2 linked regions of the Styela clava genome follow. The protein of the gene in region 1 purifies or fractionates together with the protein of each later gene. This does not show direct contact. Links are inferred from orthologs where the notes say so. Each region holds a gene or a part of one and is shown on either strand. Other genes may lie near its edges.

The links.
Region 2: the proteins of syntaxin-1A-like (region 1) and synaptosomal-associated protein 29-like purify together in Drosophila melanogaster (affinity purification with mass spectrometry; 3 studies listed by BioGRID, with this or other methods). This does not show direct contact. The link is inferred for Styela clava from reciprocal best matches to the Drosophila melanogaster genes Syx1A and Snap29.

Annotation. Positions count from the first base shown.
Region 1 is NC_135252.1:6,861,642-6,870,353, reverse strand, and holds the start of syntaxin-1A-like, read right to left. Parts: upstream 3,553-8,712; 5' UTR 3,344-3,552; coding exon 3,317-3,343; intron 1-3,316.
Region 2 is NC_135264.1:14,195,006-14,204,396, reverse strand, and holds the start of synaptosomal-associated protein 29-like, read right to left. Parts: upstream 3,920-9,391; 5' UTR 3,773-3,919; coding exon 3,566-3,772; intron 3,114-3,565; coding exon 2,923-3,113; intron 1,420-2,922; coding exon 1,259-1,419; intron 597-1,258; coding exon 430-596; 3' UTR 1-429.

The sequences.
Region 1 (8,712 bases):
AAATGATTTTGGTACATGTGTATGCATTGAACATGACTCATTTTAGAATATATTCAATAATCCACCTTATTTTATTGTGTGTTCAGAATAGTAAATCATTTGGCTTTGGCTAACTATTGTTGTTGATCTATCGTTCGCGAAAATGTGTGAGTTTTACATGTGATTAAATTGTTTTTTAATATAAGTATCAGTATTGATATTGATAATCTCAAATCGATTATATCTGTTGTATCAACTTTGTATGTGAATTAACTCTGAGCATATCCTCAGATGTTTTCCAATTACTTTTCACTAGTGTTTTTAACCATCTCTGACAGTTATATATGTATGAAATAAAGCATTGAACTGTTCTCAAATATGTCCTGAGAGGCCATTATTGACTCCTATATCCAAAATACAAGGTTTGGATACCGAAACTTTTGAATTATGCTCATGATTCTAAAATATGGCACAAGCTGGAAGGCAGGAAGGCAGAATAATTTTGGTTGGACTTTGATTGTTTTGGGCAATCAGTTTAACCCAAGACTTGGGTTTGGACAAAATTAAGAATCCTCTTATCAATAGATTTATACAGACTTAGTAGCTATATGTATAAAAAAACATTTACCAAATAGGGGAATTGCAAAAATTTATCAAGTATCCCATGAATAAAAATTACTGTATTAAACTTAAAATGAAATGAGATGATACTAACAGGTCAGATCCAGGTCAATCCATAGACCATATTGCATTAAAAAAAGGATTTCGCTTTCAGATTGAAGATATCGCTCAATATGCAAATATTATAGATCGATATTAATAAAACTTTCAAGCCTGGAAGAAATCTATATCATTATCAGATATGAGTATCACGGAGAAAAGAAAAGCTCAGGCACCTACAAAAGACAGTGGCAATTAAAAAATGAAAAGTTAGCATGTGCATATTTTATTTATGCCAACTGGTAGGATGGACATAAATATTACATGAAGGACAGAAGGCAAGGTGCTTTAATACAATGCTACCTCAGTCCCAAATGTGATATTTCTGTTCAATAACTTTTCTTGCAACAAGATTGATTACATATTCTAGTAGTACAATAATTTGGCAGAATACAGCAAATATTTCTATGCTTTCCTTCATTCATTGTCCCTTAGTTTCCAGATAAAATAAAGAAGTACCCAGATGAAACCTCCTCCTCACTTTGACATGAGAGTTGTTTCTATTATTTGGGCTTACACCTTATTCTTTTTCAAGAATTATTATTTCAATGGCAAATGGGGCCTTGAGAGTTTGATGGATAATTAAGGGAGGTGGATTTAGAAAATATTATACACACACTTTAATCAGAAATTGTGAAATTGTAAGAATAAACAAGGAAACACGTCACATTCACTTGAATTCAATCACTGGATTTTACTCAAATTTATTTGTGATAATACCTGGTTTTAAATGTGAACTCTTGTTTATTAATAAGAGCTGTATTCAGTAATAAAAGTGCTTATCAACGATAGCACCCAATAAGTGCGTGTGTTGATCAACTTTTATTAGATATATATAACATACTGTAGCATAGGTTGCGAAAATTTATCTTATATGTGCTTGCTAATGAAGTCAATTACCAAATTTTTCATAAGATGCCCAACGAGAGAATAATTTATTTGCTGATATAAAATTTAGGTACCTAATTAGAAAATTGACAGAAGTGGCTCCCCAATAGGACTTCAGAACAAAGATACAAAATGAGACAAATTTATAAATTATGACAGAATTTAACATTTTCATAGCCTTGTTAAATACTGCTATAAGGCATAAAAACAGTACATGATGATCATGTGTTCAATTCCAATATCAGGATTTCAGAAATGTAGAAATTTTCAGTCAGAGCAAATCAGACACCTTTTTATAATTTATACCACTTTTCCATCCTTATAAAAAGCTGTGAAACGGCCAAAACAATGGATGTGTGTATGTGAGTGTGTGGCTTAATAGGACAATGGAAAGACAGGATATGATGGCATTTGATATTAGCATATTCACTTTTCCCAGTCACTTTACTTGAAAGGCTACTTGGCTTTAATTTTTTTAAAAGTGGAGTGAGACCAGAATCCACTGTCGCTTGCAATATGCAGTGGTAAATCAATCATAGCAATACAATATTGAGATAAATAAATGGATGCTGAGATATGTCCAAATCTTGATTAATTTTACAAAGTTCATACTAAGGCAAGTAAACATTCAAATGAGAGTCCATCAAAATAAAATTACTAATGATATTCTTATGGTAAAATGATACATTCTATACTGGGATTTGCCACTTTGGTCCCAGCAATTCATACTTCAGTCGTAATAATAGCAACATAGATGACACTGTGTCGGTTCAACACATCATAAATGAGTCACCAAGGTGTAACACAGTATATCACAGCAAACTGTGTGAACAATCTGTATGGTAGCAAACAATCTACCGTATATAGTGTATGGCACAAATGACAATATTTATCGATTGATTGTTAATAACTGAGCAATCATTAGAAATCAATTTAATATGAAAATTAAAAAGCATGATGTTTCAAGAAAATTATGAATATTTCTAGCTGTAAGCATTATCTTTTATTTTAAAACTAATTTCTAGTTGATGTATTTTTTAGTTGTATGATTGTTAGCTGTGTATACATGCTATATCCTGATCAAATGTGTACAAATTATATAGAGATTTATTATATTTGTACCTCCATCACATATGTCTGAAATATATGTGATGAATTCAGAGCTTAAACAGACTTGTATTACATAGCATTAGATACATTTATTGTCTTTCTGCTTTATTTTTATGACTACAATAGAATAGTGCCATTAGTAACGCAAACACTTGCTTGATACAGGCAAAACCAATGTGAAGCCAATCTAGATTTTCATAAAACTGAGGAAACATAATGAAACATAGGCTACATAATGAAATACATTTTGCGATAAATGAAAATCGGTCTTCTTTTGGTAGAATGACAATTTGAGCGAAATCAAAATTACCTCTCATGCGTGAATTATGATTGTTCGAGATAAAAAGAAAAAAAAATACCAAATATAGGCCTACTAGGATAACAGTATGAATTACGGTATCTACCGGTACATAGAATGTAGAAGAATAAGGTTGTGACAGCTCTTACAGATCACTCCACCAAATACCACAATTAATAAGGACAACCCTGGCTGTATATTTATTATACACAAAAATGTCCAACACACTGTCATTTATCCTCAAATAATAACCCCAAAATAGACTTTATTATAACTAACCCAATGACCTATGAAGCATTAAAATTTAAGTAGAGAACCTACCTGTAACTCCTCCAATCGGTCCCTCATCTTGTCAGGAGAAGTTGCTTGTAAGAGAATCAAAAAATGAAGGCTATTTTAAAATCTAAACAGTAACTCTGGAAATATATCCTTCAATATACATCCAAAAATTGCTGGCTTTTATGTTTTATTCCAATACAGTTTTGATGGAGTAGATATACAAAATTCTTTATTACCCTGACGGTATTTAATTTAATCAGTTCGTTACCCTGGCATACATTTCTATAAATAAAATTTTCAAAGCACATTATTGTAAGTAACCATAAAACAGAATTATATGGAAATACATGCAGAATACAACATATTTGATAAATTATGATCAGAAGTTCCTAGATTCTGTCACTAACCCACTAAAAAATATTTTAAATGTGAAAAACTTGATATAATCTTAATCCATCAAGAACTAAACTATGATACTGAGTGCATAAATAATTTGTTATGAAATATTTTTAACTTGATAATAAAAATTTGGCAATTATTGAATGTAAGGGTCATTTAAAGTCAAATTGACCTACCTGCCAAGTCCTAATTTTGTTGCTCAAATTGACAATTTTTAAATTCTTCAAATTTGTCGTTTTATTAAAAATACATCTTTTAAAATACCGACTATAGCTACAGTTATATTAAAATATTGGAATACAGGTATAATCCAAGACTTATAATTACCTTATTCACCACCTGATATAACCAACTAACTAATCTGAAAACTCTCACTATATATATTATATATTGACAATACATATTATTCATTATATTATGTTTGATCCACTCAAAAATGAAAATCTAACTTATAACATAAAAAGACCCTGTCCCTAACTCAGTCACAAAGGATCTGTCTTTCCCTGGAATATAATTATCCTAGCAAACACAAAAAGCAAATAGAAATATTCTCTCCTAATCCAAACACAGTTTGGTTCCGCAATGTTATATCCAACACTCCATCTCTATTGCAATTATTTATTAATGCATGGAAGGACACAGCAAATGAAATTTTGCTCAGTCAATAATTATTGATTTGTTGGAGAATGAAAATGAATTGAATTTCCAGAAGTCAAATGGACACAGGAAAGGATTATTCCTTAATGCCAGATGTTTGAAGAATGCACTCTGTTTCTATGGATCAATGAAAAATGAAATTTTGATTAAAAAAATTGATTCTTTCGAAAAGTAACTAATAGTTTATATTGGTTCAAATGCAGACATAATCAAATTAGATATACTTTGCTTGCTTGTAATTGATAGATAAAAGAAACCACTGTTGGCGTATCAGACCATGTAGTTCCCTCATATGGGTTCACAGAGTCAAATCCTGTAATGGATAATTATGTAAGATTCCTTTCTGGACCCCTCGCTGTCATGAGATGGTTCACACACTCGCTGTCATGCGATGGTTCACACAACAGCTGTTTAACAATGGCTTTCTATACCATTTAGTTCCGGGTCTCGTGTAGTTTCGTACCTCTAGTGGGGATAGAACATAACGATTTTTACACATATCAATCCTAACCCCCACCTGACTTCGCCATCCCAAAATTATGTCACTATGACATCACAATCACGCCATTGCCAAAGTATACCTACAATCGCCCGAAATGACATCTGCGCCGACGATGGAAAACTCACTGACGGCAGCAATCTCTCTCATATCGAGATCGTTGCCACAAGAAAAACAGCTTGCTCTATTTCGGGTGATCGTCTGCGCGTATTGAATGACAGTTCGTATAGTTTGAAGGGCCTCATTACATCAATGCAGCAATGCGACATCGTACTGACATAATTTTGGGATGAAATTGTTATGCTACGCCCACTAGAAGTACTTTAGGTACGAAACTACACTAGATCCTTAGTTCCCACATTAGAATCAAATAACTAGTCAAATATCCCTGAGCAAGGGATAGTAAGTGAATGCATTTAAGTGAAGTGCCATCTGATTAACCCATCCTATCAACTCTTCTCTCCTCTAGAAAAATAAGCCTATAAAATCAAATTTAAAGTACACACAAGACAACCTTAAACAAGTATCAGGGGGACCTTGACATATTGAAACCCTGACATATTGAGTACCACACTTATCTGTTAAAGATTGCTTGATTTCGAACACAAGTCAAGGTCATTGATTCCTAATGATATCAGAGCATCAACGTGATGAACAACATGACTAACAACTTGATAAACAGAGATGCCATAAATGTGCATATTCTCCAATTCTTTCATACATTTTAACTTCATAAGACTTCCCTTTATTTAGAGTCCATTACAATAAATATATATTATATAACCTGAAGACCTGGATGTAATAAACAAAACCCCCTATGGTTGATTTCAATGTTTCCCAGAGCTTTGATTCTTATGTTTATTTCCATAACAATGACCAATCAACAATAAGTTCTTGATGACATAACAATTGCAATTTATGCAGCTGCTCAGAAAGATTTTCAAGCGTGGTAGTAAACATTGCCCATTTTTGTCTTTTTGCACGTTATTTGTCAGTTTTAGTTGTTTTTCCAAAAATCAGTTGTAAATAAAATAATTTAATTGTCATTATTTTTTATGTAATACCGGTACCGTACCTGTAAGCAGCACGTCCTCAAATATTGCATAAAAAATGATAGTTTTGAACATGTAAACCAGCTTCTACAGGTTACCGGTACTCCTTAAAACTTTCTTAAAATAAGTACCGGTATCAAAACTTTTGCGATAATAAAATATAAGGATAATTTTACTGAGGTCAAGCATTGGGATAACATACACGAAAATATTCTCCTGCCTTTAAATACAGACGACAGTTGAAAAATACATTACTTCAGTAGGCTACTTCAACCTGGTGCAGTGTTGCTAGAGTGCTATCTGACTGTGATATAGCCTACATACCGTACCGTATACTGGTATACGGTACACGTCTCTCAACCAAGTCCACAGCAGCATAGATCTGTGTAACAGTACCGGTATATCGAAAAATACCTACCTCTGCAAACATTTAGCCTCTAATCTGATAATACAGTACCGTAATAGCAATACCAGATACCGGTACCGGTACCGTACGGTACGGTGCCGGTTCGGTTGCTAAAATAAACTGCCGGACGGTACGGGGCTGACGGCTAACTCGCCATGGAGGCTAACTCGCCATGGACCACTCGCCATGCGACGGCGGTTAACGGGTTAGCCTGCAACTGTGCGGAGGCTCTTCTTGTAATGGGAGATGGAAAGGTGGCTGTTTATACTAACAACTTCAATAGTAAGGATAAATATATTAAATTAAATGTGTTTGGTTACAATACCTACTGTGCAAATGGTAACAAAGTGACAAGAAAACGGGCTTATATGTCGGAAGGCATACCGGTACCGTACGGTACTCGACGCGCAAAAGATGTCTCAACTTATCATTTTCATCTAAGCATGCTAAATATATCATCATATTAATTGATTGTATGAGCTCTGAATCAACAACAACGCTAAATATATCAAAAGTTCTATTTTGCTACCGGCAGTCTCATTTTATTCTAACAGCCGTTGATTGCAAGCAGAGAGGGAGAGAGAGAGCTAACTCGCCATGTCTTTATTCTTTATAATTGACGATCGACATCGCGAGTTCGAGAGAGAGAGAGGGCTAACTCGCCATGTCTTTATTCTTTATAATTGACCATCGACATCGCGAGTTCGAGAGAGAGAGAGAGGGCTAACTCGCCATGTCTATTTTCTATATAATTGTCGATTGCCCTGATGCCGGCTGATATTAGTGTTAAGCCAACTCACCACGACAAGGTTTCAGCCTTCGAGTCAGAATTTCTTTTTACCAGAAGAAACCCAAGCACAGATAGGCATCATAGCTGTACATGGAAAAGAAACTGAGGAAGGGGAAAAATACTTACACTAGGTTACTTACTCTTTACAAAAGGCCGGGCCGTAGATTTTTGAACATCTTCGAAGGAGACATGGCGAGTTAGCCCTCTCTCTCTCTCGAAATGTCGATGGTCAATTATAAAGAATAAAGACATGGCGAGTTAGTCCTCTCTCTCTCTCGAACTCGTGATGTCGATCGTCAATTATAAAGAATAAAGACATGGCGAGTTAGCCCTCTCTCTCTCTCTCGAACTCGCGATGTCGATCGTCAATTATAAAGAAAATAGACATGGCGAGTTAGCTCTCTCTCTCCCTCTCTGCTCGCAATCAACGGTTGTTAGAATAAAATGAGACTGCCGGTAGCAAAATAGAACTTTTGATATATTTAGCGTTGTTGTTGATCCAGAGCTCATACAATCAATTAATATGATGATATATTTAGCATGCTTAGATGAAAATGATAAGTTGAGACATCCTTTGCGCGTCGAGTACCGTACGGTACCGGTATGCCCTCCGACATATAAGCACGTTTTCTTGTCACTTTGTTACCATTTGCACAGTAGGTATTGTAACCAAACACATTTAATTTAATATATTTATCCTTACTATTGAAGTTGTTAGTATAAACAGCCACCTTTCCATCTCCCATTACAAGAAGAGCCTCCACACAGTTGCAGGCTAACCCGTTAACCGCCGTCGCATGGCGAGTGGTCCATGGCGAGTTAGCCCTCATGGCGAGTTAGCCTCCACCCCGGTACGGTACCTAAGTTACGGTACCGTACGGTACCTAATGTTATAAGTTAATTACTGTTTCTCTTGTTATTGAAATGCACTAGAACGCACGTAACAGACCCAGTTTTTCAGGTCGTATTTCCTGTTTTTCCAGATGAATACCGGTACCATACTAATCCGCCCGGGAATAGAATTCATTAAATTACCCAATTATTTAGCAAGCCAGTGCCACCCATTTCAAAGGGGCGTCTTCATTTGCTCTACAGTGCCATCGTGTGCAACTGCACGTGCAGTTTTAAGTATTCCGTGGCGTCTGAAGCTGCCGCAAAACCATGGCGGTATTTCCATACCATGGCCTCTACGGCCAAACCTAACCTATGTCCTATGGCGACTGACTTTTTAGCTGCCGCCTGCCACAAACCGATGGACCTTTCCCCGAGCATCGACTTCCTTGTTAACTTCGTGACATTGGCCAATCAGCAAGATGCAAAAAGTGACGTAACAATGCTCCCTTTCACATCCGCTCAGACACTTTTCTCACTCAGACAGATTTTCAAGCGTGGTTTTAAACATTACCTCGTTTCCGCGTTTTTGAACTGTATTCGTTAGTTTTCAGTTGTGTTTCGGAAACTTAAACATAAATTAGATAATTCAATGATCACTCTGTCTTCCTAAGAGTTTTAATTTAATTGCAGTAATAAAAAATTAGTGTAAAAATAGCTGTGATAAACTAGGCTAAAATTCATTTACCGGTACTTTTAAAAAACAGATTGTTGTATGCAATGAATCCTGATGATGGTTCGAAA
Region 2 (9,391 bases), on another chromosome or scaffold:
GAAGTATAGTGAGTGATGCGCAGAATGATAAAGTCAGATCTTGATTGGGTATTTTAAGGTTTATCATCAGACAAAAATAAACTTTTGGGAAAGAGAATATGAATAAACATCCTGCATTACGACTGAAATTCACGAGCTATTTTTGAAATATTCTTCTTATTCAAAAACGTTTCCGGATGTATTTGATTTTGGCCATCCCTACTAGAAAAATCTCGCTAAAAACAAACTCAAGGAATACACAAATAAACTGAGACATGCATCCAGTGGATCAGAAAACCGCTATTCAATTCAAGAAGCAATATGTTGAATTTCATCATTATTTTTACAAATTATTCATTAATGCTCAGCCGCTTCTACTTTTTTTAGGAATCACATCTATGAAAAATACTACAATAATATATGGACAAAAATAGCAACATATTTTAAAGCCTATGAATGATTCAATTTCATTAACTGCTTGCTAGTAATGTGTGTCTTATTATCGACTCTTTCGACCTTATCACCAAGCCTTGTCAAAATCCTATCCTGTGATTCAATTTCTTCTCCTAAACCAATTCCAAGATCTTTGAGCCTTCGTAATCCCGAAGAAATTTGATCTGAAATAGAGATAACAAGGATATTTGGTGTTTACCAGTGTTAATAAGACTTGAGTCAGGTTGCATTCGTGTCACCATTTATCGTTAAAACTCATGAGTGACTTGAGTCATAAAATGAGACGACCACCCAGACTCATTAATTAATCAGATAATCCCTGATCTGACTTAACACGCCACTCAGGTTTAGGGAGCTGTAGTGTTGTTTAACAAAAATTTCTGATAGTAGCTTTGATAATAGGAATATTACTTTTTCACAGACTTTTTCCCAATAGTACTCAGTAAGTACTCAGACAAAGGTTAGCCTCAACCTCTAATACTAAGTTTTTTTGCTGTGTAATCATAAATTTCACGATGTATGGTATTTATATTCGCTACATCGTAATATTCAGTAATAATATGTCCCATTCTCCATACCCAAACTATATACCTGACATCAGTCATATGGAAGTCCTATCACTTCCTATTACTTTGATTATCATCGGGGCAGGGAAAGACGATAAGACTGCATAATCATATGGCGGACTTCGTCTGGGTATCAATCCAGGTATGGAGTTAGTTAAGCATTTATTTATTTCAGATGCATGGACTTGAGCAAACAAAATCATACTATATTTGAATCTTATTAACAGACATAAATAGGCAGCAATAAATTCGAGACAAACCCAAGTTATCATCGACTTGTGCCATTCTCTCATTCTTAGCTTGTTGTTGGCTATATCCTGCTCCATATCTTTCCCTGGAATCATCTTGTCTTAACAATACTGGATGATCTTCTTCAGGTTGATATCCAGATACTTTGGAATTCACGACGGCCTTTCCTAACCTGGAAAAGAAGATTTAAATTTGAAAACCTAGTTAGGGAGATTTTGCTATGATAGCTGCTTTTCGTCCACAGATTTCTCCAACTACAGTAACAACATTTGTGTTCATTAGAAATATGATTTTCTTAGAGAGAAGAGCTGGAGTCTAAATTATCTTTCTGGTGCCAGAGACAAATTTTTTGTCAAGCAGTCTTTTTCAAATGGCTCAAAGTTTGGAATGGAATGTGAATATTTCCGATATCCTTTTACATTCAACATTATTTAGAAATAATTTAGGAATTATACATGGAAGTCTAATGGTTCATATATGGCTATGTTTGGCAAGAGAATAGGGTTTGACAGCAAAACAATTTTGTTTCACATGTCCTCATTTCACATCAATGACTCTCAGTCAGCTAAAATAGCCATGTGAAACAGCTTATTGTAAAGGTCACTTCGTACAATAACTTTACTCTGTTCCAAAAGGGGGAAATGAATCATATGATGATTCAAAGGTCAACTATTGATATAACTTGTCTAAACTTTCTACACGGTGAAACATAGCATTCATGATCACAACACCAACTCATTATAGAAAATAACACCAACAATATGGTGACCAAACATTTGAACCCACGTACATTTGAACCCATGTGTATATCCACGGGTTAGGGTTAGTGTGGGTTCAACTATCCGAAAAACAAAAAAATTCCATAGGTGCAATAGCATACAGGTGCAATTGTCATGGGTTCAAATGTACGTGGGTTCAAATGTAATGGAACCCAACAATATATATAGGCCATATACGTAGGCCAAGCAAGAATAAGTTATGCTACAAGCACACACTACATCAAATTATAATTAACATTATATAACTATTGAAACTGAAACTATCAATATGATGATTGAATTATAATCATAATAAATAATTTCAGTAAATTAAACTAAGATTTCACTTCCTAATGAAGACTAATCCTAATCATAAATCCCTGTTAATAATAAATATGCTCAAAACCAATTACATTCTAGACTAACAGGAGTCCAATTAAATTATCTATTGGATTTACCTCGATAAAAACCAATTTAAAGCCATTTAAAAAAAATTCAGATATTTATAATTTGATACTTATGCATCAGAATTGCAAAGTAGGACAAATTATACGATGTATAAATAAATCAATTTTGAACATTCAAAAATGGTCATTAACACCCTTGAAATAGCATTGACTATGCCAATAAAAATATATGTCTCACTCAATCGCTAAAAAGAAAAGTTGATCACGAATGATATTTCCAGCATTATATACCATCACTCCTGCACTGCACAAAAACACTATGAAAACTGAACTGCTGTTCCTAGAATTTTATTAAAGAAAGAAATTTGAATATCAATGCCAATCTTTTAATAACATGTTATCGAGAGCTTTATATTTTAGTATCCTGTATCACACGAAAAAAACTTCTATGAAATCAATCTGTTTTACTTAGTCATATACCAAGGTGGGCCATATTTGACTAAAACTAACCGTGAGTCTGGTTGTGAATCATCATATGTTGTGACTGGAGTTGGTGCAGGTTCCTTCCTGAATTTATTGACAAAAGCTCCCCATAAACTTTTTATACTGGCGATATGTCGATCGCTTTCTTTTAAATCTTGTTCCATTCGGTCAACCCGTTGTTCAGTGCGTTTTAAAGCTTCGCCTTGCCTTATGAGCTCCTGTAATATAAAGTTAATGATAATAAGACATCTGGACACGGAAAAATTGAATAATACTCCACTGTCAGGACTGAATGTTTAAGGATGTCCCTACTACTGGAAGTTGAAACTCTCCACTTGTGTACCTTATAGGCCACGCTTACAATGATCTAAGGCTATTCCAAAGGTCTATCAATACATCAAAGCACCTGAGCAATAAATATGGAGGACTATTCATTACAAACTAACATGATGATAAACAGTGCTTGGGAGACTTAGGACATTGACTAAACTTGAGTCCTCATTCATTGAATACTCGAAAGTGACCCAGAGTCGTACTCTAAATAATCGCCAGGCGAGTCTTAACTCAGTGATCGACTCGACATGAGACCATGACTCGGCTTGACTTTAGAGAATTAGGGAAACATGTAATAGGAAATTAGGTTGTACATTTATTTTATATGTATATTTACCTCCCCAGTAGCTGCTCCCACTTGCTCAGATTCATAAATCATTCCTAATGATCTTTGGGTGCTTGCAACCATATCAACTTCTTTACGTTTGACAACTTGTTCAAGATAGTTTTTATCTGGATCAAAATCTTCTTCGTCATCATCTGCCCATCGATTTGGCGGACGTGACGACGACTCCACGTCATCCAACCATGGATTTCCAGACATTTTGCAAAATTTTCATAAAATAAAATTAGTAGTCCGAGTATAGCAGTTTTCCAGAGATATAGTCTTGTTTTGTGATACAGTTAGCTTACAAATACGTTCGTCAAAATATATAATATTACCCTACCTTACTAAAGTCAGAAATTTATCTGTAAATGAAGACAAAGAATATAAGTCCCGTAATTCTGTAATTTAGCAATTTTATCAAAAATCTGAAAATGGGCTGAAGTGATTTTTTATAGGACCAATGTTTCTTTTGAAAGAAATCTTTGAAATACCGAAATAAGCCAGGTCAGTCGTATAGAGTTGTATAATATCCGAATACAGGTATAGGTATGTATGTGAATTAATTTCATATTTCTGTATTTTTGGGTGAGTGAACATATCATTCCTCTCACCTCTTTATGTTTTTATCAATCATTTTATTGTCTGTTATGACTGTATGATGATTACAGAGTCGAAATAAAGTTATACTTATTATTATAACAATAAGTTTACTTTTATCCCACTAGAAAAATGTACACATACACCAAAATATAACCATGAACACACAAAAGATAGGGAAAACTGGCAAGAATCTGAGTAAAAAATATTTAAATCACACATTCAGTCTCAGCCATTGCAAAAACAGAAATACCTAAAACACACTGGTTCTAGCCAAAGCAGCAAAGTGACTACAGCCGTAGTCACTGTGGTTCCAGCACAACTCTGCAACTTGCATCAAACCTGTCCGATCCGGGTCTCATGTACTTTCTTACCTGAATAACTTCTAGTGGGCGTGGCGTAACAATTTTTGGATATATGATTCCTGACCCCCACCTGATGACGTCATCCAAAAATTACGTCACTGCGACGTCACAATAACGAAATACAGCTTGCCAAAGTATAGCGACGGTCACCCGTAATGGCGCCTACGAGTATGTCAACAAACTCAATACGTCAGCGACCTCTCTCTTATCGGGGTCGTTGTACAGAGCTCAAAATAAACAAGAATCACAAGCGACTAAATTGTCGCCAAGGAACGTTCACGATATCCCATTCTGACCAATTTCTGTCCAGCAATAGCTCATGTATCGTGCTACAATCTAAAATAGAGCGTTATACGATACAACTCTAACCAAGGCTTTAGACAAGCAGAAAATACATGTTATTTTACGCAATGGTTGAAGTTGGGTACCACACACATAAAGACTTGTTATTTAATATCCAGAGACTGATCATGTATTGGGCCACATTTTATTAATAGGACGTGGAACGCTTTCACTCTATGCAAGGCTTTAGACAAGCAGAAACCGACATATTAATTTGCTTTAGCGCAATGGATGTAGTTTCTTACCTCGATAACTTATACTTATCTTAGCGTAACAATTTTTGCATATATCATTCCTGACCCTCACCTGACTTCGTCATCCCAAAATTACGTCAATGCGATGTCACAATAACGAAATCGAGCTTGCCCAATAATAGCGACCATAATGCAATCGTGATAATTACGCCTGTGTGTCCGGTATGGGTGTAGTTTCGTACCTCAATAACTTCTAGTTAACTTAGCGTAACAATTTTTGCACGTAATATTCCTGACCCTCACCTGATTTGATCATCAAAAAATTACGTCAATACGACGTCACAATAACGAAATAGAGCTTGCCTAATAATAGCGACGATTACTGGTAATGCCACCTATGGATGTAGTTTCTTACTTCAATAACTTTTAATTATCTTAGCGTAACAATTTTTGCATATAAAATTTCTGACCCTCACCTGACTTCATCATCCAAAAATTACGTCAATGCGACTTCACAATAACGAAATAGAGCTTGCCTAATAATAGCGACCATAATGCAATTGTGTTAAATACGCCTGTCTGTCCGCTATGGGTGTAGTTTCTTACCTCAATAACTTCTAGTTAACTTAGCGTAACAATTTTTGCATATATCATTCCTGACCCTCACCTGACTTCGTCATCCAAAAATTACGTCACTGGAACGTCACAATCACGAAATAACGCTTGCCCAATAATAGCGACGATTACTAGTAATGACACCTATGGATGTAGTTTCTTACCTCAATAACTTCTAGTTAACTTAGCGTAACTATTTTTGCATATAATATTCCTGACCCTGCCCTGACTTCGTCATCCAAAAATTACGTCAATGCGAACTCACAATAACGAAATAGAGCTTGCCTAATAATAGCGACCATAATGCAATCGTGATAAATACGCCTGTGTGTCCGCTATGGGTGTAGTTTCGTACCTCAATAACTTCTATTAGGCTTAGCGTAACAATTTTGGTATATAAGATTCCTGACCCTCACCCGACTTCGTCATCCAATAATTACGTCACTGCAACGCCACAATAACGAAATAGAGCTTGCCCAATAATAGCGACGTTATTCGTAATGGCACCTATGGATGTAGTTTCCTACCTACATAACTTCTAGTTAACTTAGCGTAACAATTTTTGCATATATCATTCCTGACCCTCACCTGACTTCGTCATCCAAAAATTACGTCACTGGAACGTCACAATCACGAAATAACGCTTGCCCAATAAAAGCGACGATTACTAGTAATGACACCTATGGATGTAGTTTCTTACCTCAATAACTTCTAGTTAACTTAGCGTAACAATTTTTGCATATATCATTCCTGACCCTCACCTGACTTCGTCATCCAAAAATTACGTCAATGCGAATTCACAATAACAAAATAGAGCTTGCCTGATAATAGCGACCATAATGCAATCGTGATAAATACGCCTGTGTGTCCGCTATGGGTGTAGTTTCTTACCTCAATAACTTCTAGTTAACTTAGCGTAACAATTTTTGCATATATCATTCCTGACCCTCACCTGACTTCGTCATCCAAAAATTACGTCACTGGAACGTCACAATCACGAAATAACGCTTGCCCAATAATAGCGACGATTACTAGTAATGACACCTATGGATGTAGTTTCTTACCTCAATAACTTCTAGTTAACTTAGCGTAACAATTTTTGCATATAATATTCCTGACCCTGCCCTGACTTCGTCATCCAAAAATTACGTCAATGCGAACTCACAATAACGAAATAGAGCTTGCCTAATAATAGCGACCATAATGCAATCGTGATAAATACGCCTGTGTGTCCGCTATGGGTGTAGTTTCGTACCTCAATAACTTCTATTAGGCTTAGCGTAACAATTTTGGTATATAAGATTCCTGACCCTCACCCGACTTCGTCATCCAATAATTACGTCACTGCAACGCCACAATAACGAAATAGAGCTTGCCCAATAATAGCGACGTTATTCGTAATGGCACCTATGGATGTAGTTTCCTACCTACATAACTTCTAGTTAACTTAGCGTAACAATTTTTGCATATATCATTCCTGACCCTCACCTGACTTCGTCATCCAAAAATTACGTCACTGGAACGTCACAATCACGAAATAACGCTTGCCCAATAAAAGCGACGATTACTAGTAATGACACCTATGGATGTAGTTTCTTACCTCAATAACTTCTAGTTAACTTAGCGTAACAATTTTTGCATATATCATTCCTGACCCTCACCTGACTTCGTCATCCAAAAATTACGTCAATGCGAATTCACAATAACAAAATAGAGCTTGCCTGATAATAGCGACCATAATGCAATCGTGATAAATACGCCTGTGTGTCCGCTATGGGTGTAGTTTCTTACCTCAATAACTTCTAGTTAACTTAGCGTAACAATTTTTGCATATATCATTCCTGACCCTCACCTGACTTCGTCATCCAAAAATTACGTCACTGGAACGTCACAATCACGAAATAACGCTTGCCCAATAATAGCGACGATTACTAGTAATGACACCTATGGATGTAGTTTCTTACCTCAATAACTTCTAGTTAACTTAGCGTAACAATTTTTGCATATAATATTCCTGACCCTGCCCTGACTTCGTCATCCAAAAATTACGTCAATGCGAACTCACAATAACGAAATAGAGCTTGCCTAATAATAGCGACCATAATGCAATCGTGATAAATACGCCTGTGTGTCCGGTATGGGTGTAGTTTCGTACCTCAATAACTTCTAGTTAACTTAGCGTAACAATTTTTGCACGTAATATTCCTGACCCTCACCTGATTTAATCATCAAAAAATTACGTCAATACGACGTCACAATAACGAAATAGAGCTTGCCTAATAATAGCGACGATTACTGGTAATGCCACCTATGGATGTAGTTTCTTACTTCAATAACTTTTAATTATCTTAGCGTAACAATTTTTGCATATAAAATTTCTGACCCTCACCTGACTTCATCATCCAAAAATTACGTCAATGCGACTTCACAATAACGAAATAGAGCTTGCCTAATAATAGCGACCATAATGCAATTGTGTTAAATACGCCTGTCTGTCCGCTATGGGTGTAGTTTCTTACCTCAATAACTTCTAGTTAACTTAGCGTAACAATTTTTGCATATATCATTCCTGACCCTCACCTGACTTCGTCATCCAAAAATTACGTCACTGGAACGTCACAATCACGAAATAACGCTTGCCCAATAATAGCGACGATTACTAGTAATGACACCTATGGATGTAGTTTCTTACCTCAATAACTTCTAGTTAACTTAGCGTAACAATTTTTGCATATAATATTCCTGACCCTGCCCTGACTTCGTCATCAAAAAATAACGTCAATGCGAATTCACAATAACGAAATAGAGCTTGCCTAATAATAGCGACCATAATGCAATCGTGATAAATACGCCTGTGTGTCCGCTATGGGTGTAGTTTCTTACCTCAATAACTTCTATTAGGCTTAGCGTAACAATTTTTGTATATAATATTCCTGACCCTCACCTGACTTCGTCATCCAAAAATTACGCCACTGCGACGTCACAATAACGAAATAGAGCTGATCACCCTCAATGGCGTCGGCGATTATGTTAACAAACTCAATGAGGCCCGCCACCTCACGATCACACACATCTAAAGATTTGGTATTTTATATCCAGCAACAGGTTATGCATTGTGCTGTTAGTTATTATTAGGGCGTTTTACGATAGTACTCTATGTAAGGCTTTAGACAAGCAGAAAGAACATATTAATTCACGCAATGGTTGAAGTTGGATACCACACACATAAAGATTTGTTATTTTATGCCCAGCGATAGATTATGTAATGTGCTACTATCTACTAATAGGGCGGTATACGATATCACTCCAAGCAAGTCTTTAAACAAGCAGAAGCGGACATATTGATTTTAAGTTCACGTTGTCCGTGTAGTTTCCTTTGTCCATAACTTCATTTTGCCGTCAATCGATACAATTTCGAGTTACGTTGAACACAACTAAATTTTACTAGACAGATAAATCGTTATACGCTGAAAAGTCAACTTTTTTAATGTTCGGGAAGAAAGACAATCGTCTCGAATGTGGGACACACTGTGCAAGTGTAAGACAAGCATGTAATCACGGAGATTGATTCGGAAATTTCGAATTTTAACCCCGCCTCATTTAAAGGCTAAAATAGTCACACTACAACATTGTCAAATGTGCTGTATTTACGACAGATAACAGGTTTACCAAAAAGAATTACATGCAAAATGGTAAAATAAAGATCAATTCAGCAATATCTA